3 linked regions of the Diceros bicornis minor genome follow. The protein of the gene in region 1 binds, or shares a complex with, the protein of each later gene. Links are inferred from orthologs where the notes say so. Each region holds a gene or a part of one and is shown in the gene's direction. Other genes may lie near its edges.

Region 1 (9,318 bases):
GCAGATGTTGATGGTGTATGAGGATGGGCTAAGATACACCATAAGGAAAAAATCATAAGACTATCTCTTTAGGAACCTGCTTATTTCCTGTAATTTATTTCCCTATAAATTCCAGACGATTACCACTAGCACAAACCTGCTAATAACTGAGGCAATGATCAACACTTCTTTTAGAAATTATAATGTTGTAAATATCTCATTTATTTATTCATTAAATAAATACTTGAGTACCTACTCATCCCTCTTTTGTAAGGTGGGGATAATGATAGAACTTCTCTGTATCAATTGGGGTGCTTCGCTGAAGGCAACAGAAACAAACCCTGCCTAACTTATCCAGAGAAAGAATGTATATAGTGGAAGAATATCATGTAGCTCACAGACTCACTAGGGATGGTGCAGAACTAGGTGTGTAAAATGTGCAGGGCCATCCATTTAGGATGTCTTTGTTGGCACTGTCATGACCAGACTCTGGTTGCCACAATACCTACCCCACTGTGAACTCTCTCTCCATCTCTGCATCTTTGCCTCACTTTGTCCAGATTCCAAGTTTCAGGTGAGAGCATCCAATTCACTTAACCTAGGTCCCATGCCATTCCTATGCCCTAGTTGCCAGATAACGGGGAGAAGGACTTTGGCCAAACTCAGTTTCCTAATTATGAGGTAGTCCTTGCAATCACCAAGATTCAAAATTAAGGATTCTCCACAAATAGGATGGGAGTTCAGAAGCTAGGCAGGCAAAAAGCTAATGCTCACCATATTACCTCCTAGGGCTGTGAAGATTTAATGGGATGGTCTATGTAAACTGCTCAGCACAGTGTTGGCACATAGTAAGCATTCAATAGATTTCAGCATTGTCATTATTATTAATTCAGTGAGGCAAGCAATGAGCTTGTCTCTAGGGATAAAAAAATAATAGGGTGGATTTTCTAATTAAAAAGCTCAATATTTTGGAGAGTTGTTACGGGGGGAAACAAATATAGAAATATTATCATAAAACCACTTAATAAGTGCTACAATACAGATATACAGTGGGTGCCCTGGAAAACAGGGAAAAGAAAAACTAATTCTGCCAGGGTCAGGGCAGAGAAAATGATGGACTGAGTTTTGAAGATTGGAAGGAGCATCATGAAAGGGCTTGACACATTAGAACTCCTATGACAGGGCAGGTTCAGGATTGTTAAGGGCTCTGTACACCATGTAAATGGGTGTTAATGGATCTGAACGTCACCAGGAGTCGGTACAGGGGGTGACAGAATCGGATTTGGGGGAGGGGTAACTCTCTAGGAGTGGTGAGAGAACAGACTGGAATGAGCAGAGGGAATGTCAAGAGTGCAGATGAAAGAAGATGGCTTGCACTAAGGGAGGATGGAGATAAAGACATCAACTTACAAGGAATTTATGACATAGAATGAACTGAATTCAGTTGACTCCAAAACCAGGGGTGAGGAAGGGAAGGAGTCCTGTGTAACTTAAAATCCACAACTTTTTGAGACCAGTGACTGGTAGTATCATAATTATAACAGGGTCTATTGGCAAAGGAATCATTTGAGGCAGTGGGAGTGGAAAGAGACTGAGTTTCTGTGGGGTGTTCAGTCTGCCTTACCTTAGGAGTTGCAACACTGATGCAGTTGAAGCTGTCAAAGTGGATATCAGCCAGGGACGGTGCAGAGCCTCTTTAAACACCTAAGACGTTGATTCCCATAAAAATGAAGGAACAAAATCACAAAATCTTGCATATTGTTTCAGAGGCAGTACTTTGAGCCTCCATCTATGATAGCGGATCCATGGATCTCAGTTTAGGAATCTCTGAAGTAGTACAAGGAGACTTGGGGAAGAGTCTTACAAATATTTAATGGTGAGAGCAAAGTTGAAACACTTAACAAACATAAATATGGAATAAATTGTTAAGATGAGTTTTGGCAGCAAATATGACACAGTTACTTCCACCATGCTTAATGACAGTATACACAATTTCCTAGGATTGTCAACTGCCTTGCTGTTTGTTCATCCATCTGTCCCAGTTATTCAACAACAATAATAATGAGGGGGCCGGCCGGTGGTGCAAGTGGTTAAGTGCGCACGCTCGGCTGCAGCAGTCCAGGGTTCACGGGTTCGGATCCCGGGCGCGCACCGACACACCGCTTGTTGGGCCATGCTCTGGCGGCGTCCCATATAAAGTGGAGGAAGATGGGCATGGATGTTAGCCCAGGGCCAGTCTTCCTCAGCAAAAAGAGGAGGATTGGCAATGGATGTTAGCTCAGGGCTGATCTTCCTCACAAAACAAAACAATAATAATGATAGGCACTGTTTAATGAGTAGCTACCATGTAAAAGCCACCAGGCTCCACACTAGGGACACGAAGGCAAACAAGGGCCCTTTTCTGCCCTCAAGGAGTTTACAGGCCGGTTGGGGGAAACAGGTAAGTAAATGAAAGTAGCGATAGTAAAATGAGTGTTGGAAGAGAGATGTGCAATAGGTGCTGAGAGAGAGACGGGAAAGAGCACCAAATTGCACCTGGGTTTTGGAATAAGGGGGTTAGCAAAAACTTGGAGGGGACAAATACGCTTTATTCTGAAGGATTAATTAGATTTAGGCTGGCAACACTCCAGTGTAATAAATAGCATAGCTGTCTGTTCTGGACACCAAGCACTTCAGAACTGCTTGAACATAAAGTGAAGAAATGGAGAAAGGCAATGGATAGAAATGAGACTGGACAGGTAAGCCGGGCTAGGACAGTGGTCCTAAATGGTTAAGTGATTCCAAAGACAGGCAGGAAACATTGTGTGAAGAAGCCTGGTTTAACAGAGCTTTATGGGGTTTAAGTCAGTGACGAACTGGGGAACAATGAGGAGGCATTCAAATTCAATTAAATGAAAAAACGCAAGAGATCTCCACTGTGCTAGACAAACAGACACAGTCCAAGGATCATAGAAGACATTTTAAGGAGTGTGGATTTTATACTAAGGGTAGTCAGGGCCACTACAGGAGTCTTCAAAGAGGAGTACATAATCAGACTTTTATTTTATACAATATAAACCTGGTAGCATTGCAGACACTGGATTAGAAGGGAGAAGATGCCGCCTGGGAAACTGGTTCGGTGGCTAAAGCAGTACGCAAGACCTGAAATGACGGTGGCCTGAAGCAAGATGACGGCAGTGGCTCTGAAGAGGAATTCGATACACTGGAGAGATATGGAGCTAGAATCTAAGGGACTCAGGAATGACCTGGAAGTGGGGGCAGAGGAGAGAGAGAAAAACCACAAGTCCTCACTCACAATAAACTGTACTGGCTTCTATCGTTCTGCCAAAGCCTTTCAATCTTAAATCCAAAAAAAAGTCAAAGTCGTGAACTGAAATCATCCTCTCCTTCTCGCTCTTTTTTTTTTTTTTTGCAATTCCTTTTGAAATCTAGTTTTATATACTTAAGGTTTACCTCTGGGCAATCTGGAATTAAATTTCTGAGATTGCTGTAAATTAGTTCCTTTCTTGGTTTCTCTTCCTCTTTCTTACTTCCCTGTTTTATTCTTAATATTTTATTGTTTTAGTTGTATGCTAAAATATCTCATCATAACTTAGCTTTTCCACCAAAAGAACTGTGGAACATCTGAATATCTGAAACTTGTCTCCCATCAGAATCTTCTAGATTTCCTGAAGTTTCCTAGTTGCACTCAGAAATGTTGCGGGAAAAAGTGTAATTCTCAGGTATAGGTACTTGAACTTTTTTCGGCGGAGACGTTGAGCATCATAGTCAATCACCATTTCATTTTCTTAAAAGAAGCTTCTTTTCTTCGTAAAGGCAATGTATGTTTTTATCACATAATTCAATTTTGCATAGCTTCTTCACATTTAATTTTGAAATATGACTCACAGGTAGGTCACTTATAAAAACACTAAAATATAAACAACAGAGAGGATCGGGGCTCTGACAAGTAAAGGCGGCGGCAGGACGGAGGCCAAAGAAATGCAAAACTCCCATCTCAGACCCCTGCTCCCAAAGCAGACTGGCAGGTTTGTCGCGCAGGAGGTCACCCCCTTCGGAGGGCAGCCCGGCAGCCGCCGCGCCCGGGGCCGTGGTTCTTCCCCGCCCAGCCCCTGCCGGGGCCCTGCCCGCCCTCGGAACACGCGCGGTCCGCGCCCCTCCCCGGACCACCCTCCCTCCGTGAGCCGAGTCTCGCTGGAGCCGGACTGCAGTCACCGCACCCAGGCCGGAGAGGACCGGCTCCCAGGGGTGCAAACCACAACAGCCGCCCAACACGCCGCTTCGCAGGGGCGGGAACGAGGAGGGAGCTCCGCGCCGCGCGCTGGCCGGGGGGGCCGGGGCAGGGACCGCGGGCCCAGACGCGGAGCGTCCCCCGCCCGCCGCGCCCCTCTCCCTTCTCCGCCCGGTATCCCCGCCCCTCTCCTCCTCAGGCCAGTCGCCCCGTCCCGCCCTCCCCTCTCTCGCCGCGCCCTCCCTCTCTCGCCGCGCCCTCCCTCTCTCGCCACGCCCTCCCACCCTCCATCGCCCCGCCCCTCTCCCGCCTCCGCCCGATCGCCCCGCCCCCGCGCCCCGCCCCCTCAGGCGCTCCGTAGCCGTGACGTGCGCGGGCCCGGGGACTCCGCGGGGCGCCGGCCGGCGGGCGGAGACGGACCCGGCGACTGTCCGAGCAGGAAGCGAGCTCTGCCTGGTCCGTGCCGCCGCCCGTCCCTGTGCGCGTCCGCCTCGTCGCCCTCTGCGCGCACGCTCGTCACCTCCTGCCCCGCCCTCCAGTCTCACCGGCGACAGGTAGCCCTCCGCCGCACACCTGCCTTCGTGGTCCGCCCGGTGAGTGTCCGGAGCCCCGCGGGGGGCGTCGGCCTCGTTCCCCGCCGCCCGCCCTGCGTCGGGGGCTCCTCGGCCGCCCGGGCCGGGGCGCGGGGCTCCTCCGAGGACGCGGGTGGGGAGCAGGTGAGGGCGGCGGCGGCGGCGGCGGCGGCGCCGGGCTGCTGCTCGTTTCCGCAGGACAATGGGCGTCCGCGTCCAGGGACTTGTCATCTCCGGGATACCTTTGTGTCTGCGCTGGCTCCCGGGTGGAAGCAGGGCGCTCTGGTGTCCGCTCTGTCCGGGCCACTCCGTGGTGGCTTTATTTTCTCTTTCGTAAACAAGCTTCAAATCCAGCGCAGCAGTAGTGCCGTTTGTTCTGGGAGGTGCGGATCACACATTAACCTAGTAGTTTAATCATGTAGGGGACCAGGTTGGGACTACCTAAAGCTCCATTTGTCGTCTTTAGATGGTCCAGTACTTTGAGTATGCTAATTTATATATCTGCTACTGAACAACAGGTTTTATGTTTGTTAATTTCCAAAGACTCTTTAAAACGATTAAAAGCTCCAATTCTAGGACTTTAAGTAGGAAATAATTTGATAGGGTTATTATAAAACATGGGTGTCAGAAATACTTTCATACAATTTCAGAAAACACATTACATTTTATCTGACATGATGTTTGCGGTGGAGGAATGCTTAAATCCTAATCTACAGATATTAGTGAAGAACTGGGAAGACTGCCCCAAACTTAATAGACTGATGTACGTGCTAAATAAAAGGTTCATTTGCACTTGTGCTCTGGTGGTGTAGATGCAGTGTATCTAAATGTAGTCAGGGTTTGAGAGTTTTAAAAAAGAATATTCTTAAGATTTAGCTCATGCTGTTAACACCATAAAATGTGACTCTTGAACTTGGGCTGGCAGTGGTCATGGTACAAAGGCTGGCAGCAAAATGGCATTTCTGTACAAATTAACTCCACTTCGTAGATGTCTTGGGCTGTGGTTTTCCAGTTGGAAATTGTTTAGTGAAAAAATTACCTTGGTGTCTTTTATCATTAATTTTAGAAACAGCACAAATTGGGCTATAGCCAGATCTTGAAACAATGCAACTGTTCAGAATAACTCATTGACTTTTAAATATCCAGTTCATTTTGAGTATTTTCAGTTGGGCAGGAATTACATGCACATTTTAGTTGTAGGCAGATTTGCCCGTCGCATTTGTATGTTCTGTGTGACATGCTATTGTTCTCCCAGCTTTTTGTTATATTTTTGATTTCAAAAACTAGTTTTAAAAGGCAGTAACAGAAGTGATAAACAACTTTAAGATCATCATGATTCAAAACTCTAAATATGTAATATATAGAACTATATATAATATACGTATATTCTTCATTAGTGCCCGGAAACATGAGCAAGAAAAATGTAATGAGCTATTGCACTATTTAATGTAAATTAATGCAAGGTATAAAAAACAGAGATCATAAATCATAACGCATGGGGCTCATCTGAAATAGATTTTTTTCTCTGTTTATGTTTATGTGATCAGGTTTTAAAATAACAGTGGCCAGGAAATCTGAGAGAGGCTGAAGGCTCTTTTCTCATCCTGTTGTGACTTTGTCTGGAGACTGTGGTGTATCATGTAGCCCATTGTTTAGATAACTGGCCTGTCTCTGGGTTCTAAAATACAGCTTTCTTTAGAAAGTTTAAAAATTTTGACCACGTGAGGTTTGAAGAAATATAAACACCCTAAACATTTTTTTTTTTAAATGAAGCAATTTTCATTGTCTGTTGATTATTGAAGCTCCATCTTTGATATGTAAAATGTCAGTTTTAAAAAGATTTCTTTAAACTTTTTTTTTTTTGGTGAGGAGGATCAGCCCTGAGCTAACATCCATGCTAATCCTTCTCTTTTTGCTGAGGAAGACCAGCTCTGAGCTAACATCTATTGCCAATCCTCCTCCTTTTTTCTCCCCATAGCCCCAGTAGATAGTTGTATGCCATAGCTGCACATCCTTCTAGTTGCTGTATGTGGGACGCGGCCTCAGCATGGGCGGAGAAGCGGTGCGTAGGTGCGCGCCCGGGATCCGAACCCGGGCAGCCAGTAGTGGAGTGCGCGCACTTAACTGCTAAGCCACGGGGCCGGCCCTAAAAAGATTTCTAACCTCTGTGAAATTTTCATTTCTACATATTAAAATATTTTGAGTAAAAGATTGAAAAAAATATTACAACTTTAATGAATCTCATACAGTTTAATTGTGAGCCCCATAGGAAGAGACTTCGTAATAATTTGTGAACTGGCCCTTTAGTATTATAAGATCGTCACCCATTTATCAGGCATCTGCCATAATCAGAACACTAACTGAGGGACTTGATCAACAAAATATTATCAAAGCTGGTGGTCTTGTCTTTTTACACATGAGGAAATTTAGGCTCTGAGAATTAAATATTTGCTCAAGGTCATGTAGCTCCAGAGGGACAAAGTCTGGATTCACACCCAAGTCATCTGACCACGAGACCCCGTCCTTTCCACCAGACCAGGGTGCCTTGATCTCAGTTCATTTAGTAGACTGTTCAGTAAACCTGCAGAACTGGTATTGTGTTCCAGAATGTAACTTGAGGTTTGAAGAAGGCACACAGGAGTGAGGATAAGATAGGCCGTGAATATGGTTCTGGAATGAATTTTGATTTCTCTGTCTTTTTTCATTCTTAAGTTGACAGCCTTGAATGGTGATATGATGTTGCTTTATCATTTCTGGTGTAAATTCTAGAATGTTATACATATTGTGCACTGTTTAGTAGGTTTATAGGAACTAGAATTAGGCTGTAACACTGGTTTTCATTGTAGCTAAAATGAATAGTATAATCTTTCTAGTTAAGATAGAACTTTAAAATTTTCCTCAAATGAGATAGGTTGTTGCCCATAAATGCACTAGTTGTCTTTTAGATACTACATAATTAACTCTGAAATCCTGGGGTGGGGGACTTGTTTTTAGATTATGATTAAATTGTCATCTCTACTTTTAGGACAATTTTTTTTATGGCCTGTGTTTATTTCAGGAATATCCCTTGAGCTGTAATAGATATAAAGGACAAAAATGAGCACACAAAGTCCATGCTTTGTAACAAAGTAGGAGTCATTTCAGCAGTAGAATGTAGTTGGGTAAATGAGCAGAAAATGATAGGAAGGCTGAGTTGGGTGACTGCTTTTACAGGTGTTTCGGTATTTGATTTGATCTATTAGGAATTTTGCATCTCAAGGATACTCATATTCAACTGTAAATACAAAACCATCATCCAAGGGCTTAATATAAATTGTTAATGGATGATCTGTAATACATCTGCTTTTGTGTATGTAGATAATCAAGAACTAAGTAAAGTTAAATAAGCTTAAATTTCATTTTTGAGGCATTATATAATGTTCAGAGGAACCAGGATGTTTTGCATTTAAAACAGTTATGCTTTTATATGACAAATTTAGTGGACTGCTAATAATCTTAAAATATAAGTATTAGAATCTTTTTATTTATGGTTTTCAAAAATAAACTTGTTTTCTTATTTAGTAGAATAAGAATGACATAATGGTTTGAGAAATGACCAGAAATTCACCAAAAGTGCTCCTTGTGAGTACTGAAGCATAGGAAGTAAAACCGGAAGCGAATCTGGCATCTTTAGAAATCTTGCTAGTATTAAAGAGAGAGGAAGTCCTTTTCTGTGCAGAAAGAATGTCTCCAGTGAAACCAGAATACGGAAGCACATTCCTTGGGTGATACTCACATAGGTGAAGATTCAGGTCCAGGCTGAGTAATGTGCACAAAGGAAGACGGTGTTCCTGGCGAAACCACAGGCATCTTTAATGAACGTTATGTCACTTGTTTTTTTATTTGGAAGTAACCTCCTGTTTAACCTTACGAGGTAAAGTATTGCATATAGCAGAATTTTAAAATTTCTGTTATATGTGGATGAGCATCTTTTTCAACAATATTTACTGAGGGCCTACTGTGTTTGAAATGTGACTATAGATGGGGAGTGGTGCTTCCCTGTCCTGGCAGATCTTTGGATCTAGGAAATAGGAAGAGTGGCAGAGATGTAAAAAGAAAAATAAGTAGAAACATCCCTTTAAAATCTGAAGATGTTGATGTCAAAAGTTAACATCTTGCATTTGTATGGCAATTGTTTTGGAAATCACTTTATGTACATTTGGTCCTTAAAATAACTTGATAAAGTAGACGTGATACTTATTCTTATTCCAAAGATGAGAAAATGGAGACAAAAAAATTAAGTGCCTTGTTCAGGATCGCATATGTGGCTGCTCAGCTCATAGCTGAGAATAAAACCTCTGTTCGTGTATTCCCTTAGTAGATCTGCCTCCCCAGTTCTCTAGCTGCTAGATGTTAGAGTTAACGTCTTAGCTGTGACTTGTTTCATTTTATGGCTTTAATTCTGATGGTTAAGGAAATTCTGAAAAGTCAGGGTCACTAAAGTGATAATTGTTAAATAGTTACAAGTTTTTTTTTTTCTTCTGAGGAAGATCGGCC
Region 2 (10,198 bases), on another chromosome or scaffold:
CTACAGAGACAGAAAGTAGAAAATTAGTGGTTTCCTGGAGGTGGGACAGTTGAGAGGATTGAGGAATGGTGACTAAAGGTGCAAAGTTTATTTCAGGGGTAATGATGAAAATGTTCTAAAACTGATAGTGGAAATGGATGCACAACTCTGTGAATATACTAAAAGCCATTGAACTGTACACTTTCAATGGGTGAATTGTAAGGTATCTGAATTGTATCTCAATATAGTTGTTAGATACGATGCCTGTGTCTTGGTCATTCTTTCTTTCTTGGATTACTCACTCTGGAGGACGCCAACTTCTGTGTCTTGAACAATCTTTTGGAAAATCCCATGTGGCAAGGAATTGAGGCCTCCTGCCAGCAGCCATGTGAGTGACCTTGAAAGTGGATTACCCTGCCCCTGTCAAGCTTTCAATGGCTGTAGCCCCTGCCAGTAGCTTGACTGCAGCCTCATGAGAGATCCTGGGTCACAACCACCCAGTGAAGCCCTCCCAGATTCCTGACCTTCAGAAACTGTGTGAAATAATAAATGTTTGGTATTTTAAGTGCTACGTTCTATGATAATTTATTACACAGCAATAGATAATACAAACCCATCTACCTCTTTAAGACAGGAATTTCCAACAAAATTGTACTTTTTATATTTAATAATTATTTATGAAATTTCTGGTATAATTTGTTGCTTTAATTAAATATATACTACTAATAATTATAATGATGTCAATACAAAACAAAATTTTAACATTCAGAGCCTTACGGTCATGGGATATTTTTTAAAAGTCCATTATATTTATATTACATATTTTTGTTATAAAGAAGTATGACAAGTTGATAAACGAAAGTCTTTAAAGCACAAAAAAATTCTAATAGGCTAGAACTTAAGAGTAGGTGTTTGAATGGTAGTATGTGTTCCTGGAGCAAAAGCAAGAATCTGAAATTTCTTAATTTTAATGAAAAACTTTGTCATATATTTTTTGAATGGATAATGGTGAATATCAAACCACTATGGTATCTAGATGCCATTGGATACATTTTAAAAAGCAATGGAACAATTTTATTTCAAAGAATCAATGTTTACAGTATATTAGAAAGTACATCCATTGCAACAAATTAAGTAATTATGAAAAAATTTAGATGTCAATTTAAAATGCACACGAGATGTGGATTTTTTTAAATTTTTTTTCCCCCAAAGCTCCAGTAGATAGTCGTACGTCATAGTCGCACATCCTTCTAGTTGCTATATGTGGGACGCGGCCTCTGCATGGCCGGAGAAGTGGTGCATCGGTGCGCTCCCGGGATCCGAACCCAGGCTGCCAGTAGCGGAGCGCGCGCTCTTAACCACTAAGCCATGGGGCCGGCCCAGAGATGTGGATTTTTAAAAATTCTTTTAGGGAGGGTATTTTTATCTTCCTTGGAGTTCATGGTGATTCTTGAATCTGTGGCTTGGTTTCTTCATCAATTTTGGGAAACTGTTAGCCATTTTCTCTTCTCACATTGCTCCATTCTCTCTCTTCTCTCTTTCTAGCTAAAAATTACATGTTTATAAATCCTATTCCTCATATCCCATATGTTTTTTATGCTCTTTTCCGTGTTTTCATCCTTTTGATTCTGGGTTTCAGCCTGGATATTTTTCTGCTCTATCTTCTGGTTCACTTATTCTCTTTTCATCTATGTCTAACCCACTATTAAATTTATCTACTAAATTCTTAATATCAGATACTCTAAATTTCAGTTCTCAAACTTTCAAACTGCTGAAATTCTCAGTATTTTCTTTTAATTCCTTGAACTCGTTAATCATAGCTATTTTAATGTCTAGGTCTGATAACTCCATTTTCTGAATCCCCTGGAATTTCTGTTGTATGTCTGTCCCTGAAAATGTCTCTTAGCATGTTTTGTCTTTATATGTTTAGTTATTTTTGGATGAAATTTTTTCTGTCAGAGAATTTACTTTTGCTTTTGGTGGGCAGCCTAGGCTAAGGGCCCCAGAAATCCTGGACCACTTTAATTCAACCAAGGATTTTTATGACTCAAAGCTGGGCTTTAGTCTTTCACCTTTATTCCTAGTGTGTATCCCACAGGGTCCCCACAAAAAGCCTGGTACATTTATCAGGACCCCTCCTTCTTGGTAGGCCCTCAACTGTTTGATCTCCCCAACCCTGTTCACTGAAGCTCTACTCAGCTTCTCAGTCTCTGTTTTCAGAACTAACAATCTCCTTGAGAGGAAACATGGTTCCAAATGTTAGGCTCACTTTTCTTGGCCTCCCTCCTCTCCTAGAACTGGGGCCCACAGTTCCTCACTGCTTTGGTAGTCCTCTGATACCTTCAAAGAGATCTTTTAAACTTTTTGCCCAGCCCTTCCAGTTGTTTTCAGCAGAAGAGTTGGCCCTAAACACTTTGCCCACCACCATTCCTCTCCCCTGAACTTCAGACTTGGATTTCCAGTATCCTGTTGAACGTCTCCTGAATATCCCACATGTCTCTTGTGCTCAATATTTCCACACTGAACTCTACATTTGTCTCGTCTCCTGACCCCTCCCACTCAGCTGGCTTTGCCTGTGGTGCGTATTTCTTTTCCTTTCCTGAGGAAGATTTGCCCTGAGCTAATATCTGTTTAGCTCAGTTTTCTGCCAATCTTCCTCTGTTTTGTATGTAGGTCACTGCCACAGCATGGCCACCAATGAGCAGTGTAGGTCCACGCCTGGGAACTGAACCTTGGCCACTGAAGGTGAGCGTGCTAAACTTAACCACTGGGCCACCAGGCAAGCCCCTGTTGTGGCTATTTCTGTTCATAGTTTTCCTACCTATAAATATTATGTGTGAATTTCCTCTCTCTCTGCCTCCTAGATGCTATCACTTACCAAGTACTGTGTACATTGCCTCCATTATTTTCTTTCCACGTGAGTCCACTGCTCTGTTCCCTAGAGTATCATCTTTAGCTCTCCTCATCTCCCTGTTGGATCACTGCAGCAGTGTCTTTCCTAACTGTCTTCCCTGCTTTCAGAATCCTTTCCTATTCTTACAGTGCCTGAGCTGCCAGAAGAGTTCTGACCAAGTCATTGCCTGCTTCAAGTCCTTCAAAGTCTCCTCACAGCCTCAGCAATTAAGGGATAATCTTCACCTGGGCACTCAGGCCCTCTATGATTTGACTCCAACTTTCTTCAGCTGTATCCACGTACTTTCCTAATCTTTCCATCATCTAGCCAAATCACATCTCAGAGTACAGCACCACCCTCTGCCTCTCTTCCCCTCCATGCCATATCTCTCACAACCCTTCTCCTCTGAGATGCGTCTCAAAATCTACTCCATTCATTCCACCAATAAATATTTTTTGAGCACGTGCTATGTGCCAGGCATAATGCCAGAGCCTGAGAATACGAAGGTGAACAAGGCAGGCATAGTCCTTGCCCTCACATAAAGGTCTAGTGGGACATATAGACACTCAGAAAGGACTTAATCTCCTGTATGAAACTTTTCCAGGACTTCTCAACCAAACATGACTCGCCTTCTTTCTGTCTTTACAGTTCTTTGCTTGCTCACTGCACTCTCCGTACCCCCACTCCACATCACCATCTATCTTATAGTAATTTGTATGCATTTCTTACCGACCTCCTTCTGGATCAGATCCTTTTCCGCTTTAGACGGTGGGATCTGTCTTAATCCCTCACTCAAGACCCTTCAAAAATCATTGTGTGACCCTTGGTCTGGCTCTGGCAAAATGCTCAGGTAGGATCCTGCACAGGTCTAGTCTCTGCCTCCCCCTAGAACCGAGGGCTCTTCTCAACTATGTCACCCAGTACTTCCCTCTCTCCATTGCTCCCATTTCAGGCCAGCAGCTCTCCTGCTTGCACATACTTCTAGCTACTTCTTGGACATCTCCTAAATATTCTATGACTCCTGGCAATCACCTGAGCTTTCCCAGAGCCCATAAACTAGTGGCTTCAGCAATTTCACCAACTCATGATTTATGATCTCATCTTTTTTCCCCGCATCTCTCCCAGTCCCTACCTGTCAGTCATGAAGTCAGTCACTTCTCTGTTGAGACCCACTTTCCCATAAATGCTCCTCATCCAGCTCCACACCACTCCCCTGCCTAGACCTTCATCATGCCATTCCTCAAATTCTCTGCCCACAGCTTCTGCTCCCCTCCATCCTGCACACAGGGGCTAGATTAATCTCTTAAGCAGCACGTTGGTCAAAATCATTCCTTTCTCAGGGCCAGCCCCGTGGCTTAGCGGTTAAGTGCGCACGCCCCGCTACTGGCGGCCCGGGTTCGGATCCCGGGTGCGCACCACCGCACTGCTTCTCCTGCCATGCGGAGGCCAAGTCCCACATACAGCAACTAGAGGGATGTGCAACTATGACATACAACTATCTGCTGGGGTTTTGGGGGAAAAAAAAGGAGGAGGATTGGCAATAGATGTTAGCTCAGAGCCGGTCTTCCTCAGCAAAAAGAGGAGGATTAGCATGGATGTTAGCTCAGGTCTGATCTTCCTCACAAAAAAAAAAAAAAAATCATTCCTTTTTCTGAAACCTTCCATGGTTCCCTATCACTAATAAGTCTCCTTAGCATGGACTGCATTCTTGACCCCAGCATATGTCTCTAGATTTACCTTCAATTATTCTCTTCTTAAGCCCTTTCAGGTCCAGCCAAACTAATTTACTCTCTGTCCCTCAAACACGCCCAGCTCTGAATCTTTGCCCAACAGTAATACGAGGCCACCATTATTGATTCTTCTAAATCTTACCCATATTCCATAATGGAGCTCCAAGCCGCCCCCTCTGTGAAGTCTTCCCTAAGCACCTCAGCTGATTTTCCCAATTCTGAGTGTATAAATATTTATTAATTTTGCATGATGAGATGTGATGCCTCCTGTAGCAAGTGACTCTCAGGCCAGCTTCCCCAGAATCATGCACTTACCCTGGAGAGAATGCTGTCTGTCCCTTAGCTACTACTGTTGTAAGCAACCAAAAGTTGTCTTCCTTGGACCCTCACATGGTAGTCCTTGACACTTATCCTTCTCACAGGGGCAGGGTAGAATGTTTCAAGGAGATGAACGTGAAACTACTTCATGCGTTGTTACCTATTTATGTTAGGGGTGAGCATTAAACAAGAAGAGGGAGGGGAAGACTGAGACAGTTACAGGTTCTAAAATTTTAAGTTTATTAAATGTTTTTCTTCAAGACTTTCCTACATTCCACACTTAAAATGGCTTTAAAAGTAAACGCATGCTTTAAGGAAACCATTACCCTTTTTTGTCACCAAAGATACATGTATGTTTTTAGAAACCACTTTCTTGTTCCTTGTTGACTGCCTCTGGAGGCATCTTTGACCTCTGGCTGGTTTTTTGGTTAGTTTGTTTCTATTTTTGACTTTTTACTTTTTAGGGTGGTGCTGGTAAAGGAGAAAGGTCCTTCTGTTAGCCATTGCAGAAGCTCCCCCATCCTCAACATGAACATGATTAACTGGAATCACTCTATTACCATTTCTATAGTGCAGACAAAATTATCTAGCCATGTTATTAACAGTTCCGGGATTTAAAAGAAATACTGAAAGAACTTTATTTCTAAAGAAAGTTCCTGCTGTCCTTAGCTGGGAGAGGTGCATACATATACAACAGGTTGGGGCTAGTACATTATGGAGCTGCCCAGGAGACCTGGGTTTCCTCGCAGCCACTGACTCCCTGTGTGATTGATCCCTTTCCACACAGGGGTCTCAGTTTCCCTATGAACCCGGGATCCCTGATGAATTCTCCAGTCCTAGAAACTTCTGTCTAGGTCTGAAAAACATACTGGCTGCAAAAGGGCTTTGTAACAGAGCTATATTCGCCTTTTTATAAAAATACTATGGGGGAGAAAAATCAGAGTGGTTTCAATTACATTTGAGTCAGGGGGCTCTAAAGGAAAAAATAATCTAGGCTGGGTGAATGAGTTAACAAATACAGAAAGTCTTTTGCAAAGCCAGTACAGAGCCGTACAAGTTCAGCTTTCCCAACCATCCTGGCAGCGCAGGATTCTCGTTCCCATTTGACGAAAGAGGAAGCTGAAGTTCAGAAAGGCTAACGAGCTTGACTCTTCTGCAATCGGCCAATCACTGCCGCCCTAACTTCACCTCACCTGCCGGTTCAGCCCCAGAGGCCCCTCAGAGGAGCCGGCCCGGCTCAGCCCGCCCCCGACACCAGGCGGGCAAGGACGCTTTAACTCAAGCCCCACTTCCGCCTCCCCTCGCCCCAGGGGCGCGCGGCCCTCACCTCCGCCACTGCGCGAGTCACGAGTTGTCCTGGGGGGCCCGGCCCCTCCTGCTGATTGGGTAGCTGTTGAACCATTGCTGTCTTCTGATTGGCTGTGGCCTTTTCGGCTCTCCCAAACCGCCTAGACCGGCCGGATATAGGGACAGGGTTTCCGTTTCCGCTACCTCCCTCCTCCCGCTTGCCCTCCAGTCGCAGTCGCCACCACAGCGGCCGCTGCCGGGCGTGGTGTCGGTTGGCTCGTTTCAGCGTCGGTGCCCGTGCCGTTGAACTGCGCGCCATGGCTGAGCTAGATCCGTTCGGCGCCCCCGCGCTGGGGAACGGGGTGGCCGGCGCCGGCGAAGAAGACCCGGCCGCGGCCTTCTTGGCGCAGCAGGAGAGCGAGATTGCGGGCATCGAGAACGACGAGGCCTTCGCCATCCTGGACGGCGGCGCCCCCGGGCCCCAGCCGCACGGCGAGCCGCCAGGGTGTCCGGGTGAGACGGCGGGCGCGTTCGGACGGGAGGCCTGGCCTGGAGACTCGGCCGCAGTGGGTCTGAGAGCTCGGTGCAGCTCCTTCTGGGTGAAGCGGGCGGTTGAGCAGGAGGGCCGAGAGGAAACGAGACCCCGCTCCGTCCCGCGGCAGCCCCGGCGCGGGCGGCGAGGAAAACGGCGTGCCGGGCTGAGCGCCCGGAGAAGCCCGTTCAGTTCAGGAACTTTTCGTTGAGCGCTTGCTGTGCCTTGAGCCTGGCCTCTGAAGCAGCCGCGTTGGCGCAGTTTGGCCAGACTTACAGGCAACTCGGAGCCCAGCACGGAACCAGTTATTGGGAAAGGAGGGCAGAAAAAATAAGAATAGTATCGTTTTTGAGGCATACAATCAAAAATGGCATTGCAGTTCAGCGTTTAAGTACTTAAGGTGTCTAGGAAGAGGAGTGAATAGGAAACTCAAAAAAGATGATCTAGCGCTGGAGAAAGACACTGCCGCCAAAGAGGGATAAGAGTTTTGCCATTTGTCAAACGTAGTACCGCTAGGACATGTGGAGCTCTGCTTCCTTTAGGAACAGCTTTGTTAGGCACTGCTGCCTAAGCAGACCTAAGATTAGCCTGGATCAATCTTTCAAGAGGTGAACAAAGAGTGTAGTATGTGGCCTTTTCCCAGAAAAACTCAAGGGGAAAGAAAACGCAGTAGGATGCCAGTTTGACCTTTGAATGCCTTGCATGTGGGTGATGCTTAGGATTGTGGTGGTTGGAGGAAAGTATGAATGGAAGAAACGCTGTTGGTAATATAGGGAAGTAGGAAATTAGCTAGAAGAAATGAGATGTGGCTTTTCATGCACTTAAATGCAGTTAAAGGAGAATAGGATACTGGTGGGGCAGATGGGAGGGCCAAACATTAAGGGCCTGGGTGTGAGACAATAAAAAGTGTTGGAGACCCAGGCTCTGGTGCTCTAGAGTAGTGCCCTTAAGAAAAGCGTTCCGAGTCAGAAGTCTCAAATTACTATGCCAACCAAGCAGAACCTTTTTTTTTTTTCTTTTTCTTTTTTGGTGAGTAAGATTGGCCGTGAGCTAACATCTGTTGCCAGTCTTCCTCTAGTTTGTATGTGAGTCACCGCAACGGCAGGGCTTGATGAGTGGTATAGGTCTGCGCCCTGGGTCCGAACCCACAAACCTGGGCCACAGAAGCGGAGCACACTGAACCTAACCAGCATGCCACTGGGCTGGCCCCAAGCAGAACCTTTTTTGGGAGTGGGGATGGGGAGACTACTAGTTTGCAGCCTCTGAGTTTTTATGTTACCTCATGCTGCCTCCTAAGCAAATCGATCACCCAGTAAGAATTTACATGAGACCATGTTATGTGCTTGAAAGTGTAATTTATAGCAAGCAGATTGGATTGAACTGAGTTGTGGCTGGGGGATGAAGTTGGCTTTAAGTGATTGGGGTTTTTTTCTTGTTGAGTGGTCTTTAACATTTGGCTGAGAATGACAAAATTTACTTTCTAGATCCTTAGTTTGCCCCCTTCATTTAATAGAAGAGAAAACTGAGTCCTACAGAGAAATAACTTAATAGAAAAGGACAGTAGCTGAGCCCCAAGTCTCCCCACCCTTAGACTGAACCATATTCTGTTTGTTTTTGCAGGGGTGTAGTTGAATAACAGATTGTCCTTTTTATTTTTGTGTATGTGAGGAAGATCAGCCCTGAGTTAACATCCATGCTAATCCTCCTCTTTTTGCTGAGGAAGACTGGCTCTGAGCTAACATCTATTGCCAATCCTCCTCCTTTTTTTCCCTCAAAGCCCCAGTAGATAGTTGTATGTCATAGCTGCGCATCCTTCTAGTTGCTGTATGTGGGACGCGGCCTCAGCATGGCCGGACAAGCAGTGCGTTGGGGTGCACCCGGGATCCGAACCCGGGCCGCCAGCGGCGGAGCACGCGCACTTAACCGCTAAGCCACGGGGCGGGCCCGAGATTGTCATTTCTAAAAGGTGCTTGTGGCTGTCCTGGGTAGGACAGAGTTGGGAGAATCAGGATGTATAGTTAGAAGATTTTCCTGATTCAAAGACATGTTACTCTTGCTCTCTGTTGTATCTCCAATGCCTAGCAGAGTGTCTGGCACATAGTAGATAAAAAGAAATGGCCAAAAATGTCAGGTCCAAGGGCCATGTATAAAACCTGCACATCTTGGTGATGGGCAGCTTGGGGAGGTGAGAGGGAGAGAATAGAGTTGGACACACAGGTCCCTTGTGCAGCAAGCTTTCGGCAAAGGGAAGGAAGGGATGATTGCTGACTTAGTTCCTAGGAAGGACTTGCTTAGTGAACTAAGCGTTTAGTGACTTAAAGCCCGATCTCTGACAGTGTAGTTGAGGTTGGTAATAGTGCAGTGGTCGGAAAAAAAAGTAATGCTGTGGTCAGCACTTCCTTTGGGGATTAGAGATCTAGTTGGACACTTTTCTTTTTTTAAGAGGCACTCTAGTGGTTAAGATTCTGTGGTGTCCTAGACTGCTTGAGTGTGAGTTTACCTTTGTTGTCTCAGGCAACTTAAATGACCATCACTGCTGCCTTGCCTCAATTTTCTCCTCTGTAAAAGGGGTACGTACGTACCACGTAGGGTTGCCAGGATTATGTTAGAGTGCACCTGTAAAGTGCTTACAGTACCTTTAATATTATTATTATTATTACTACACACAGTTCCTGGCTACTGTTTTTCCTTGGAAGTAGGGAGAGAAAGGTGTTACAAAGCCTCTAGGCTTTGGGGTGTACTGAGGAAACAGATTTTAGGAGGGAGCTCTGTATCTTTGTTATTATACTGAGGTATATAGGCAGGAGGCTCTAACAGAGATTGAGGAGAGAGGAACATAATCTAAACTCCCATGGAGCATGGGGGCAGGCAAAACCAGAGGGGTTAGGCCTGAGTCATGGATGACTCCCTTCGTGGTTAAGAGAATCAGAGAAGAGACCTAAGTTTAGAGCTGGGGGGGTAACAGCTGGGTAAATTGGCTCTAAGGGTGTTGAGGAAGAACAAGTGGTCAGGAAAGAGGCAGCGTAAGTCTAGAGCTGTTGAAAAGCCCTCAGTCATGAGGGCTGAGGAGGGAGGAGAATGAGAGGCAGTTAAGGAGCTCCTCTGAAAGGATAGCATTGAGGCATTATTTATGTTTCTGACAAGTCCTTTCTTGGAGGAGAAGGAAGAGGGGTAGAGGAATTGAAGGCTTTCTGGAGGGAGAGAGAAATTTTTTTGGCAGCAGTGATAGAAGTTCAGGGTAATCTCACGCATGATATTTAGCACTACTGCACATTTACAGTATGCCAGGTACTCTCCACACTTTCAGATCCATGCAGTAACTGCAGGCTGAGTGGTAGTGTCATCCTGTTTCAGGTGAGAACTGAATGTCGTGGAAGTTAAGCAGTGTTCCTGAGGGAGCAAACTAGTATATGCATGGCTCAGCTGGCATTCAGATCCTGGTCTGCTTGACTTCAGATG
Region 3 (9,765 bases), on another chromosome or scaffold:
CGTGCACTCAACCGCTAAGCCACGGGGCTGGCCCTGAATGTGGCTACTTTCTAAATCCCACACACCAATTCCATATTTATGTTATTGTGTAAGAACTTAAGTTAAATTAGCTTACTCTTCACATCTGTTCTTGCTTCTTTACTGTTTTATTTATCATAACCTCAGAGATGGAGAGTAATTTGGTCTCCATGCCAGAGGGTTTCCTCCAAGTATCCATGGATGAGTTAACGCATGTAAAATGCTGAGCACGAAGCCAGACACACAGTAGGTGCTCAGTGAACATTTACTTATTATTATTGATTATTAACTTGATTCTTCCCGCTATATCACTTCATCTCCTTTTTATTTCCATTTTCCAGTTCTCTAGTTCCAATTATTCCTAGAAAAATTTATTTGAATTTTAGCTAAATAAAGGTTATCTCCTTGCCCACTTGTTATCTTCAGTTGTTCATTGTTGCTATGCAACTATAAAACATGCTATCTTTAGTTCCAGGGAAAACTACATATGGTTTAACAAATCCTGTGTTTATTTTCTCCCAAGTTCTTGCTTACTGGATACATGTTATATATAACTGAGGCTGGGGAGGGGAAGGGTGTGTTGGGGGGCATTGTGTGTTTTTTCATAACTCCTAATGTTACATGTTGTAATTAGAGGCCACATTTGCTGGGAAAAACAAGTTAGTATCTTATGATTCATTTGATGACTATGTGTTTTCTGATAAACAAGTTATTATTATTGCTTTGGCAGACATATAAGGTTATATTAATTTAATCCTAGAATTTTTTTATGACTCACTCATATTTAACTTTATAGTTGATACTTTTAGGCTGTTAGAAATACCAAATGTTACTTAGTGGAAATACTGTAGATAAATAACCTGGGTTGAACTGTAAGCCTAGATGTAAAGTGAAGACTAATACTTGGATTAATTGTAGTTAATTCATTTATCTTAGGTAGTAACAAAGGTCAATTAATTTTATCTAATCATATTTACTGATATCTATTACATACATAACACTGTGTAAGAATCTGGAGAAGATACCAAAGTGGAGTGTGGAGCATGGTTTCTACCATCAAGGAACTGTGTGGTCAGGTAGACAATATACTGTATGTGAGAAAAGTCAGCATGTATGCAAATACAAAGCTCTGTTGTAAAGAACTGTTTCTAGTACAATAGATGTGCATTAGGAATTCAGGGAAATGAGGAATTAGGTGGGCTGGTGTGCTAGCTAGCATCCATTTACCTTTCTAGATCCAATCTTCACCTTTTTCAGTGTTTCCTGGAGGCATCTGCAGCCTGGGCCATATCAACAGAGACTCTTTCCTCTGGCATCTGATTTAGTTCAGTGTTGAGTCTGGGGAGATGATCTGAGGAAGGGAGGAGAATGAAGTCAGAATAGGCACATTTGTGGGACCTGGGGCAAGAGTACACACGGAAGCCCAATTATTGAAAACTAATTGCTTAAAACAAACTGACAAATGATATATATTCTATCCTCCTGTTGTATCTTAATAATGATGTGAAAAGCCAAGTTAAAATTTAGAGTTCCCCAATTCATCAGAGGTCCACACTGGAATGTAGGGACATGGGGAGAAACAGGTCTCTGCCTGCAGCCTACCTCATTCTTTTTCTACCCTGCTCTATTCTACTATTCTACCCCCACCCCTCCTACTGTGGCAAAGAGCTGCTCCTTGGCGACCCCCCCAGGCATTGGGGATGTGCACATAGCAGTGCTGGCTGCCTGGACCCTGGAAAGCCTATGCAGTTTCTGGAAGCAGACTTGGGGCCATCTGGGCAAGGAAATCCAGGATCCTGGGTATCCAGAACATAGTGCAGAAGAGAGGGCATGGGTTCTGAGTGGCCATGCTCCCTTGACCCTGTAGATTCCATACCTTGTAGGGTTTTGTGCAACTGAAGGAGGGCCGGAGCAGGTGCTCCTTTTGCCCAGGTCTAAGGGTAGTCTTGGGTCAGGCTCTTCATTTCCATTTCCCCAGCTGCCTTGTCTCTAGAATGCCTCTGGCTGGATGTTTTCTTCAAGCAAATGTGACAGCTCCTCTTAAGATGATTCTCTCTTCAAAATTTTCTAATTCCTCATCTCTTTAGACTTTGGGATAGAAACAGCTATGGGGTACTATACTATATGTTATTTTAAAAAATTTTTTTATTGCTGTAACATTGGTTTATAACATTATATAAATTTCACGTGTACATCATTATATTTTGATATCTGTGTAGACTACATCATGTTCACCACCCAAAGACTAATTACCATCAGTCACCATACACATATGCCCTTTTACTCCTTTTGCCCTCCCCCCTCCCCCATCCCCTCTGGTAACCACCAATCTAATCTCTATATCTATATGTTTGTTTGTTGTTGTTGTTGTTGTTTTTATATTCCTCTTGTGAGTGAAACCATATGGTATTTGACTTTCTCCGTCTGACTTATTGCCCTTAGCATAATATTCTCAAGGTCCATCCATGTTGTCACAAATACCAAGCTTTCATCTTTTTTTTTACGGTTGAGTAGTGTATATGTATATATAGTAGTGTATATATTCCATTGTGTATATATACCACATCTTCTTTATCCATTCATCCATTGATGGGCACTTAACATTTTTTCCAAGTCTTGGCTATTGTGAATAATGCTGATATGCACATAGAGATGCAAATATCTTTTCCACTTCGTGTTTTCATGTTCTTTGGATAAATACCCAGAAATGGAATAGCTGGATCATATGGTAGTTCTATTCTTAATTTTTTTCTTTTTTTAGAAAGAGCAATGTATGGCTTTGCTCTTTTTTTTTTTTTGAGGAAGAGTGGCCCTGCACTAACATCTGTTGCCAATCCTCCTCTTTCTCTTTTTTCTCCCCAAAGCCCCAGTACACAGCTGTGTATCATAGTTGTAGACTTGCAGCTCTTCTATGTGGGACACCGCCTCAGCATGGCTTGATGACCAGTGAGTAGGTCCGTGCCCAGGATCCCAACTGGAAAACCCTGGGCCCCCGATATGGAGCGTGCAAATTCAACCGCTACACCACCGGGCCAGTTCCTATTCTTAACTTTTTGATCTCCATACTGTTTTCCGTAATGACTGCGTCAGTTTACATTCCCACCAGCAGGGTATGAGGGTTCTCTTTTCTCCACATCCTCTCCAACATTTGTTATTTCTTGTCTTGTTAATTATAGCCATTCTGATGCGTGTGAGGTGATATCTCATTGTAGTTTTGATTGGCATTTCCCTAATAATTAGTGATGTTGAACATCTATTCATGTGCTTGTTGGCCATCTGTATATCTTTGGAAAACTGTTCAGATCCTTTGTTCATTTTTTAATTGGATTGTTTGTTTTTTTGTTGTTGAGTTATGTATGAGTTCTTTATATATGTTGGATATTAACCCTTTATCAGATATATGGTTTGCAAATATCTTCTCCCAATTGTTAGGATGTCTTTTTGTTTTGTTGATGGTTTCTTTTGCTGTGCAGAAGCTTTTTAGTTTGATGTAGTCCAATTTGTTTATTTTTTCTTTTGTTTCCCTTGCCTGGTGAGACATGGTATTCAAAAAGACACCACTAAGACCAATGTCAAAGAGCATACTGTACTGCCTATGTTTTCTTCTAGGGGTTTTATTGTTTCAGGTCTTACATTCAAGTCTTTAATCCATTTTGAGTTAATTTTTGTGTATGGTGTAAGATAATGGTCTACTTTCATTCTTTTGCATGTGGCTGCCCAGTTTTCCCAACACCGTTTCTTGAAAAGACTTTCCTTTCTCCATTGTATGTTTTTGGCTCATCTGTCGAAAATTAGCCATCCATAGATGTGTGGGTTACACTATATGTTATGAGTATACCCTGACCACCACCTGCCCAGTCCCTTTACTAAACCATCGCCAAATATTCTTAATCTGATTGTATCATCTGTTTCCTGCTGTAACTATGGCTGATACAGCTGGTTCCTTATGGGAGATTTTACAGCAAAGGTGAACTTGATGTAGGTCTTGAGGGAAACTTTATAGGCAAAAAAAAAAAAAAGATTTAAAAATTAAAGGAGCTTGAAAGGTTATACAATCCAACCTTCCCACCCCATGCCAATACTTTTGCCCTGTTTATTTCATATTTTATTTGACACAGCTCAAAGGCATTCTTCTCTGAATTTTTTCTTAATTTCATACCCTCTTGTGTTCCCTCATACTATTTAGATATTGATAATGTACCTGCCATGAACCCTATGATGACTCACTTTTCCTACTTTTCTTAAATAAAACTTCAGGGAGCTTTTTATTCAAACACTGCATTGTAAAGCCATATGGTTTTCACTTGATGGAAATGCATCATTTACTTATTAGGTTTTCTCTACTCTTTGCTCATTAACCCAAGATAATTAAAGTAATGGTATCTGGTGCTGTAGCAATCATAAACACAAAGGCAAATTCGAGTCCCGAGATCCTGTAGCAGTATACCATTTTTAGGGAGTCATTCATAAGAACCAGAATATGTTTATATTAAATTTTAATTCAGAGAAACATAAAACACAAAAATTTTAAAGTTATCCTAGAAAATTAACAGGCTCCCTTCCCCTGCCCCAGTATATCTGCTAATCTTAATTTGAGAAACATGGATTTTCAGGACTGAAATTGATGTGAAAGGTGAGGGAAAAGGAAAAAGCTTGGTATGATGACTCAAAGATGTCTGGTCTGGGCCACTGAGCACATGATCCTATTCACTGACATCAGGAGTAAAAAAAAGATTCTTTCAGGAGAAATGATGAGCTCAGTTTTGTACAAGCTTACTTTGCATTTCCTGCACTACGTTTACTTTCTGGTAGACTGAGCTGCAGATATAAATTTGGAGGCCAATACCAACTATTGAACCCAAGAGAATACATGTGGTCCTGCAGGGAGAGCATGCAGAGTCAGGAGAGAAGAAGGTCAAGCCTTGGAGAACACAGTTGGAGAACACAGTTCCTGGAGAGTAGCAGTTAGCAAAGAGGCAGAGAGGTAAGGAAATCAAACAAGAGGCTGATTTAAGAATGAAATGGTCATGAGGCCGGCCCAGCGGCTTAGCGGTTAAGTGCACGTGCTCCGCTACTGGCGGCACTGGCCTGGATCCCAGGCATGCACAGACACACCGCTTGTCCGGCCATGCTGAGGGGGCGTCCCACGTACAGCAACTAAGAAAGATGTGCAACTATGACATACAACTATCTACTGGGGCTTTGGGGAGAAAAAGGGAAAAAAAAAGGAGGAGGAATGACAATAGATGTTAGCTCAGGGCTGATCTTCCTCACATACACACACAAAAAGAATGAAATGGTCAGTGCTGTCAGATTCTCTTAAAGGTCGAGTAAGATAAAGACTGAAAAGACTTAATCATATCTGGTGATTATGAAGTGCTGAGCATAAGGAGAGCAATTTCAGTGGAGTGTGGGAGCAATTTCAGTGGAGTGTGGGGACAAAGTCTGATCACAGCGAGTCTAAGAGCAAAGGTGGAAGTGAGGAAATGCAGCTAATAATTCAAGACTGTTTTGCTTTGTTGTGAAAATGTAGCTACAGGCGACTACAGGGGACTGCAGGGATGGAGGAAAACAATGTAAGAGATCAGTGAGTGGCACCAGGTGGGGAGGGGAAGGACAAGGGTCAACAGGTAGCTTAAAAAATAGAGATCCTTGAGGAGTAGCGAAGAGATCAGACCAATCAAATGAAAAGACTTCCTCCGAGTTTGGAGAAGGGAGGTGGGTGGAGTTACAGACAAGGGGTGGGAAATTGAGGGAGCTCACACGTCACACTAAATGGCCTCGATTTTCTCTCTAGGGTAAGAGGTAGAATTCTCCGCAGAGACCAAGAAAGGCGGAGGTGGGGCAAATGACTTGAGGAGAACGCTGAGTGGGAGAGAAAGGTGCCCAGGAAAAAGCGAAAAGGATTACTGAGAGGTGCTGAGGGTGTTTGACTATTAATTTAATGTGGCACCAATCTCAAGGCTTTTCCTTGAGATTGGTGTGAGGCAGGATGTAGGTGCAGAGAAGGCAGATGCAGGTTAACTTCAACTTAAATCCCTATCCCCAGTGGCCTAGACGTACCAAGGCGTGTGGCCCAATAGCGTGTGAGAGCCTACTGCACGTTCTTGCAAAGCACCAGAAGGGCCAGCGTGTTCTAGGACGTGTTCTTCCGTAGCTTCAGCATCCCAAGGCTGGGCTTGGAAATCGAGCCGTTTTTAAAAGGAGCGGGGAGATGCCGGGAGATGAGATGAGGGACCGTGCCCAACTTTTCTTCTCTCCAGAGCCACCCGGGGAGAGGGCAGGCGGCTGCTCCACGTCCAGGTGCCGCTCCTCGGGTGGAGGAGGGGGCCCCGACCCGGCGCGGAAGGCGGAAGCGCCTCTGCCATTGGCCCAGCCGCGCCCTTTACCTGCGCGGAGCCCGGGGGCCGGGGCGCAAAGTCCGCGCGCCGGGCCGAGGAGGCGGCCGACGGCAGCACAGGTGGGCCCCCGCCCTCGGCCAGGCAAGATGCCCCTGGGGCTGCGGCGAAAGAAGAAAGCCAAGTCCAAGGAGACCGCCCGGCTGGTGGAGGGGGAGCAGGAGGGCGCGGGCGGCGGCGGCGGCCCGCCGGAGCCCCCGGGTCCCGCGCGCAGGTTGGTTTTCCACACGCAGCTGGCGCACGGCAGCGCCACGGGCCGAGTGGAGGATTTCTCCAGCATCCAGGAGCTCTACGCCAAGATCGCAGGCATATTTGAGATCTCGCCGTCCGAGGTAAGGGCCGGGGGCTCAGCCTCCCGCTCCCTCCCCCACGCTGACATTGCCCCGGCTGGTGAGCCGCGCTTCGCTGAGCCCGCCGTCGGGTGCGGGGTGAAGCCCGCCGGGAGCGCCAGGGGAAGCGAGAGGGCCTCACAGGGAAGGGAAGGGTAGGTCCCGGGACCGGAGAAAGTCGCGGTCCCCACGCTCGGAGACCGGCTTCTGGGAAACCCGGGATGACCTTTCTTCCTCATGCGAGTAAGTACGCTTTAGTAGTCCTGGATTCAGCCGCTCCGGCGTGAGCGCCTTCCCGGAGTCCGGATCTGTCTGGGCAAATTAACACCCTCCACTTCATCTGGATTTCACTCTCTGGCTTCCTCTGCAGGGAGGAGAGGGCCACGCTGAGCATCTCCCAGATTCAAAGGGGAGGGGGCCGGAAGGAAGTGCCTTCCAGGTGATACCAAACCGAGGCCCACTTTGCGCCTCATATGTCATGTCCGGCATCAACACTTTGGTATTTCCAAGAAGCTTACTATATTGCAAGGGTGGATAACTTAGAGAGTTATACTTAACTACGTGGGACTAGTTAAAATTTTCAGAGGGGAAATCAGCTCTAAATTTTACACCATATCGTTGAAAAGGGACTGAAATTTGCTTTAATTAGATTGACTGCATGTGTGCCTGGAACTGGAGTTCCATAGAGGCATGATTTCGAAAGCACTAGTCTATGCGGATCTTTATGTGACCACTTTATTTATGCTTACCCAAGCGAACTGCAAGTGTAGGTGCGAGAAGTTAGCCCAAGAAAATGTTTTGCCCCTACTTCTAGGAAAATCACCAGATCTTGCCGCCCTGGACTCCAGGGAGCGCGGAGGGCTGCCTTTGAGTGACACGGCGCGAGCAGCATGGGTATCTGCTCTTGAATGTTGTTTATCAGGTCTGTTGGGGGGGAATTGAGGTCAAGGCAAAATTCCAAGAGGAGATGAGAGAGAGCTTGAAGTGTAACCTTTTGTTCTTTCAGCGTTCCCAGGCTCTGAGGGGCAAATCACAAACCCATTTTGTGAATTATTTATGTTGATATAGAGTAGTAACCGTAATACTTCACCTTTATGTAAGATGTTTCAGTGCAATAAGCACTTTCTCAGGAATCATGTCTTTCGATTTTCTCTAGGAGAGGTAGGTGGCAGGTAGCTAAGGACAGGATTTGGAGACCAATAAACCTGGGTGTGGATCTGGGTTTTACCACTTACAAGCTGTGTGGCCTTGAGCAAGTTTAACTTCCCTCAGTTTCAGCCATCTATGAAATAGAGACAAGAACATCTACCTTGAAGGGTTATTGTAAAGAGTAGAGTTCATATGTCAACCCGTCGGAGTGCATGGTGTATGGTCAGTGCTTAACAAATTGTAACTAATGTTATTAGTACCTAATGGTTAAATGAGGGGGCTGAAGTACAAAATCATTGGGCCTTGACCAAGGTCACATAGCTAGCAAGAAAAAAGCTGGGCTGTTATTTAAACTTGGATCTTCTGGTTTCTAAGCTGAGTAAGCTTGTTATTATACTTAGCTGACAATTTTACATGTCTCTCCTGTAACCAGGGACTGCAGATTTAGTTACTTTGCATTAACAGTCTTCCTCATCATAATATATAACATTCTGAGCTCAAGATGCATGACTTTATTTAGTCCCCTTAATCCCTGAGAAGTATTATTATTAGTATCCCTGCTTCACAGAGAGGAAACTGAGGCTTTGAGGTTCAGAAATTTTTCAAAATTACACATAGTAGGTGGCAGAGCCTAGATTTAAACCCAGGTTTTTTTCTGACTCCAAATTCCTTGAAGTTATATTGCTGTGTTGCTTCCCAAGTTTTTCCAGGGTGTCTCAGCAATAGCTTGGCAGCCATGTTCAACGTTTTCAGTTTCTAGTGCACTGACTTGCAAGATAAAATTCCAAGATAATATAAACATAAGGTGTTTTTTTTTTGTGTGAGGAAGATCAGCCCTGAGCTAACATCCATGCCAATCCTCCTCTTTTTGCTGAGGAAGATGGGCCCTGGGCTAACATCTGTGCCCATCTCCCTCTACTTTATGTGGGACGCCGCCACAGCATGGCCTGACAAGCGGTGTGTCGGTGCGCTCCCAGAATCTGAAACCCAGGCCGCCAGCAGCAGAGCGCGTGCACTTAACCGCTACGCCACGGGGCCGGCCCCAAACATAAGGTGTTTTGATGTGCTATATCAAAGTTCAGAAATTTTTATAACCCTAAATATATATATTAGTATGTTTATACATATAACCAACATTAATGCAAGTTTTGCATTTGGATTAAAAAGAGTTAAGTATAAAGTATTGGTCATCATAGTATAGTATGTTGTAAGTATCTCAGTAGTTAATTTTGAAACAGAAGTAATTTATTAAAATGTGCACCAGTGAGGCCGGCTCCGTGGCTTAGCGGTTAAGTGCGCGCGCTCTGATGCTGGCGGCCTGGGTTCGGATCCCGGGCACGCCCCAAGGCACCACTTCTCCGTCCAACCCGAGGCCGAGTCCCACGTACAGCAACTAGAAGGATGTGAACCTATGACATACAACTATCTACTGCGGCTTTGGGGGGAAAAAATGAATAAATAAAATCTTTAAAAAAAAAAAAAAAAAAAAAATGTGCACCAGTGAGATCCCATTTCCCATCCCATTCTCCCAGCAAGAGGAATAATGGTAAAACTTTTAAAATATCATTGGAGACAAAACAAAAAATTTCCCCTCTTAATAGGTTGAATATGGGGGCCGGCCCTGTGGTGTAGCAGTTAAGTGTGTGCGCTCCGCTGCGGCGGCCTGGGTTCGGATCCCGGGCGCACACCAACGCAACCCTTGTCAGGCCATGCTGTGGCGGCGTCCCACATAAAGTGGAGGAAGATGGGCACAGATGTTAGCCCAGGGCCAGTCTTCCTCAGCAAAAAGAGGAGGATTGGCATGGATGTTAGCTCAGGGCTGAGCTTCCTCACACACACAAAAAAATAGGTTGAATATGGTTAACTCAAAA

What was found. The genes of interacting proteins can lie anywhere in the genome.
Region 2: the proteins of MYO6 (region 1) and CLTA are in contact, whole or in part, in an NMR structure (PDB 6E5N), measured with the Homo sapiens proteins. The link is inferred for Diceros bicornis minor from reciprocal best matches to the Homo sapiens genes MYO6 and CLTA. Residues at the interface, in NP_001355794.1 of Homo sapiens: Met1053, Thr1054, Pro1055, Met1058, Ala1059, Met1062, Ser1087, Trp1089, Lys1090, Tyr1091, Glu1113, Arg1117, Leu1118, Val1120, Tyr1121, Trp1124, Asn1128; in NP_009027.1 of Homo sapiens: Glu47, Asn48, Glu50, Ala51, Phe52, Ile54, Leu55, Asp56, Gly57, Gly58, Ala59, Pro60, Gly61.
Region 3: the proteins of MYO6 (region 1) and GIPC2 are in contact, whole or in part, in a crystal structure (PDB 5V6H), measured with the Mus musculus proteins. The link is inferred for Diceros bicornis minor from reciprocal best matches to the Homo sapiens genes MYO6 and GIPC2. Residues at the interface, in NP_001034635.2 of Mus musculus: Ser1055, Lys1056, Trp1057, Lys1058, Tyr1059, Arg1084, Arg1085, Leu1086, Val1088, Tyr1089, Trp1092, Lys1093, Asn1096; in NP_058563.1 of Mus musculus: Glu255, Leu256, Tyr257, Met258, Gly259, Ile260, Asp262, Asp264, Leu265, Thr268, Thr289, Leu290, Asp292, Phe293, Ala294, Pro296.

What each region holds. Positions count from the first base shown.
Region 1 is NC_080762.1:54,977,359-54,986,676, reverse strand, and holds the start of MYO6 (unconventional myosin-VI), read left to right. Parts: upstream 1-4,643; 5' UTR 4,644-4,803; intron 4,804-9,318. UniProt on the Homo sapiens protein: Myosins are actin-based motor molecules with ATPase activity. Unconventional myosins serve in intracellular movements. Myosin 6 is a reverse-direction motor protein that moves towards the minus-end of actin filaments.
Region 2 is NC_080767.1:4,652,648-4,662,845, forward strand, and holds the start of CLTA (clathrin light chain A), read left to right. Parts: upstream 1-6,431; 5' UTR 6,432-6,524; coding exon 6,525-6,720; intron 6,721-10,198. UniProt on the Homo sapiens protein: Clathrin is the major protein of the polyhedral coat of coated pits and vesicles.
Region 3 is NC_080743.1:15,402,666-15,412,430, forward strand, and holds the start of GIPC2 (PDZ domain-containing protein GIPC2), read left to right. Parts: upstream 1-5,998; 5' UTR 5,999-6,232; coding exon 6,233-6,748; intron 6,749-9,765.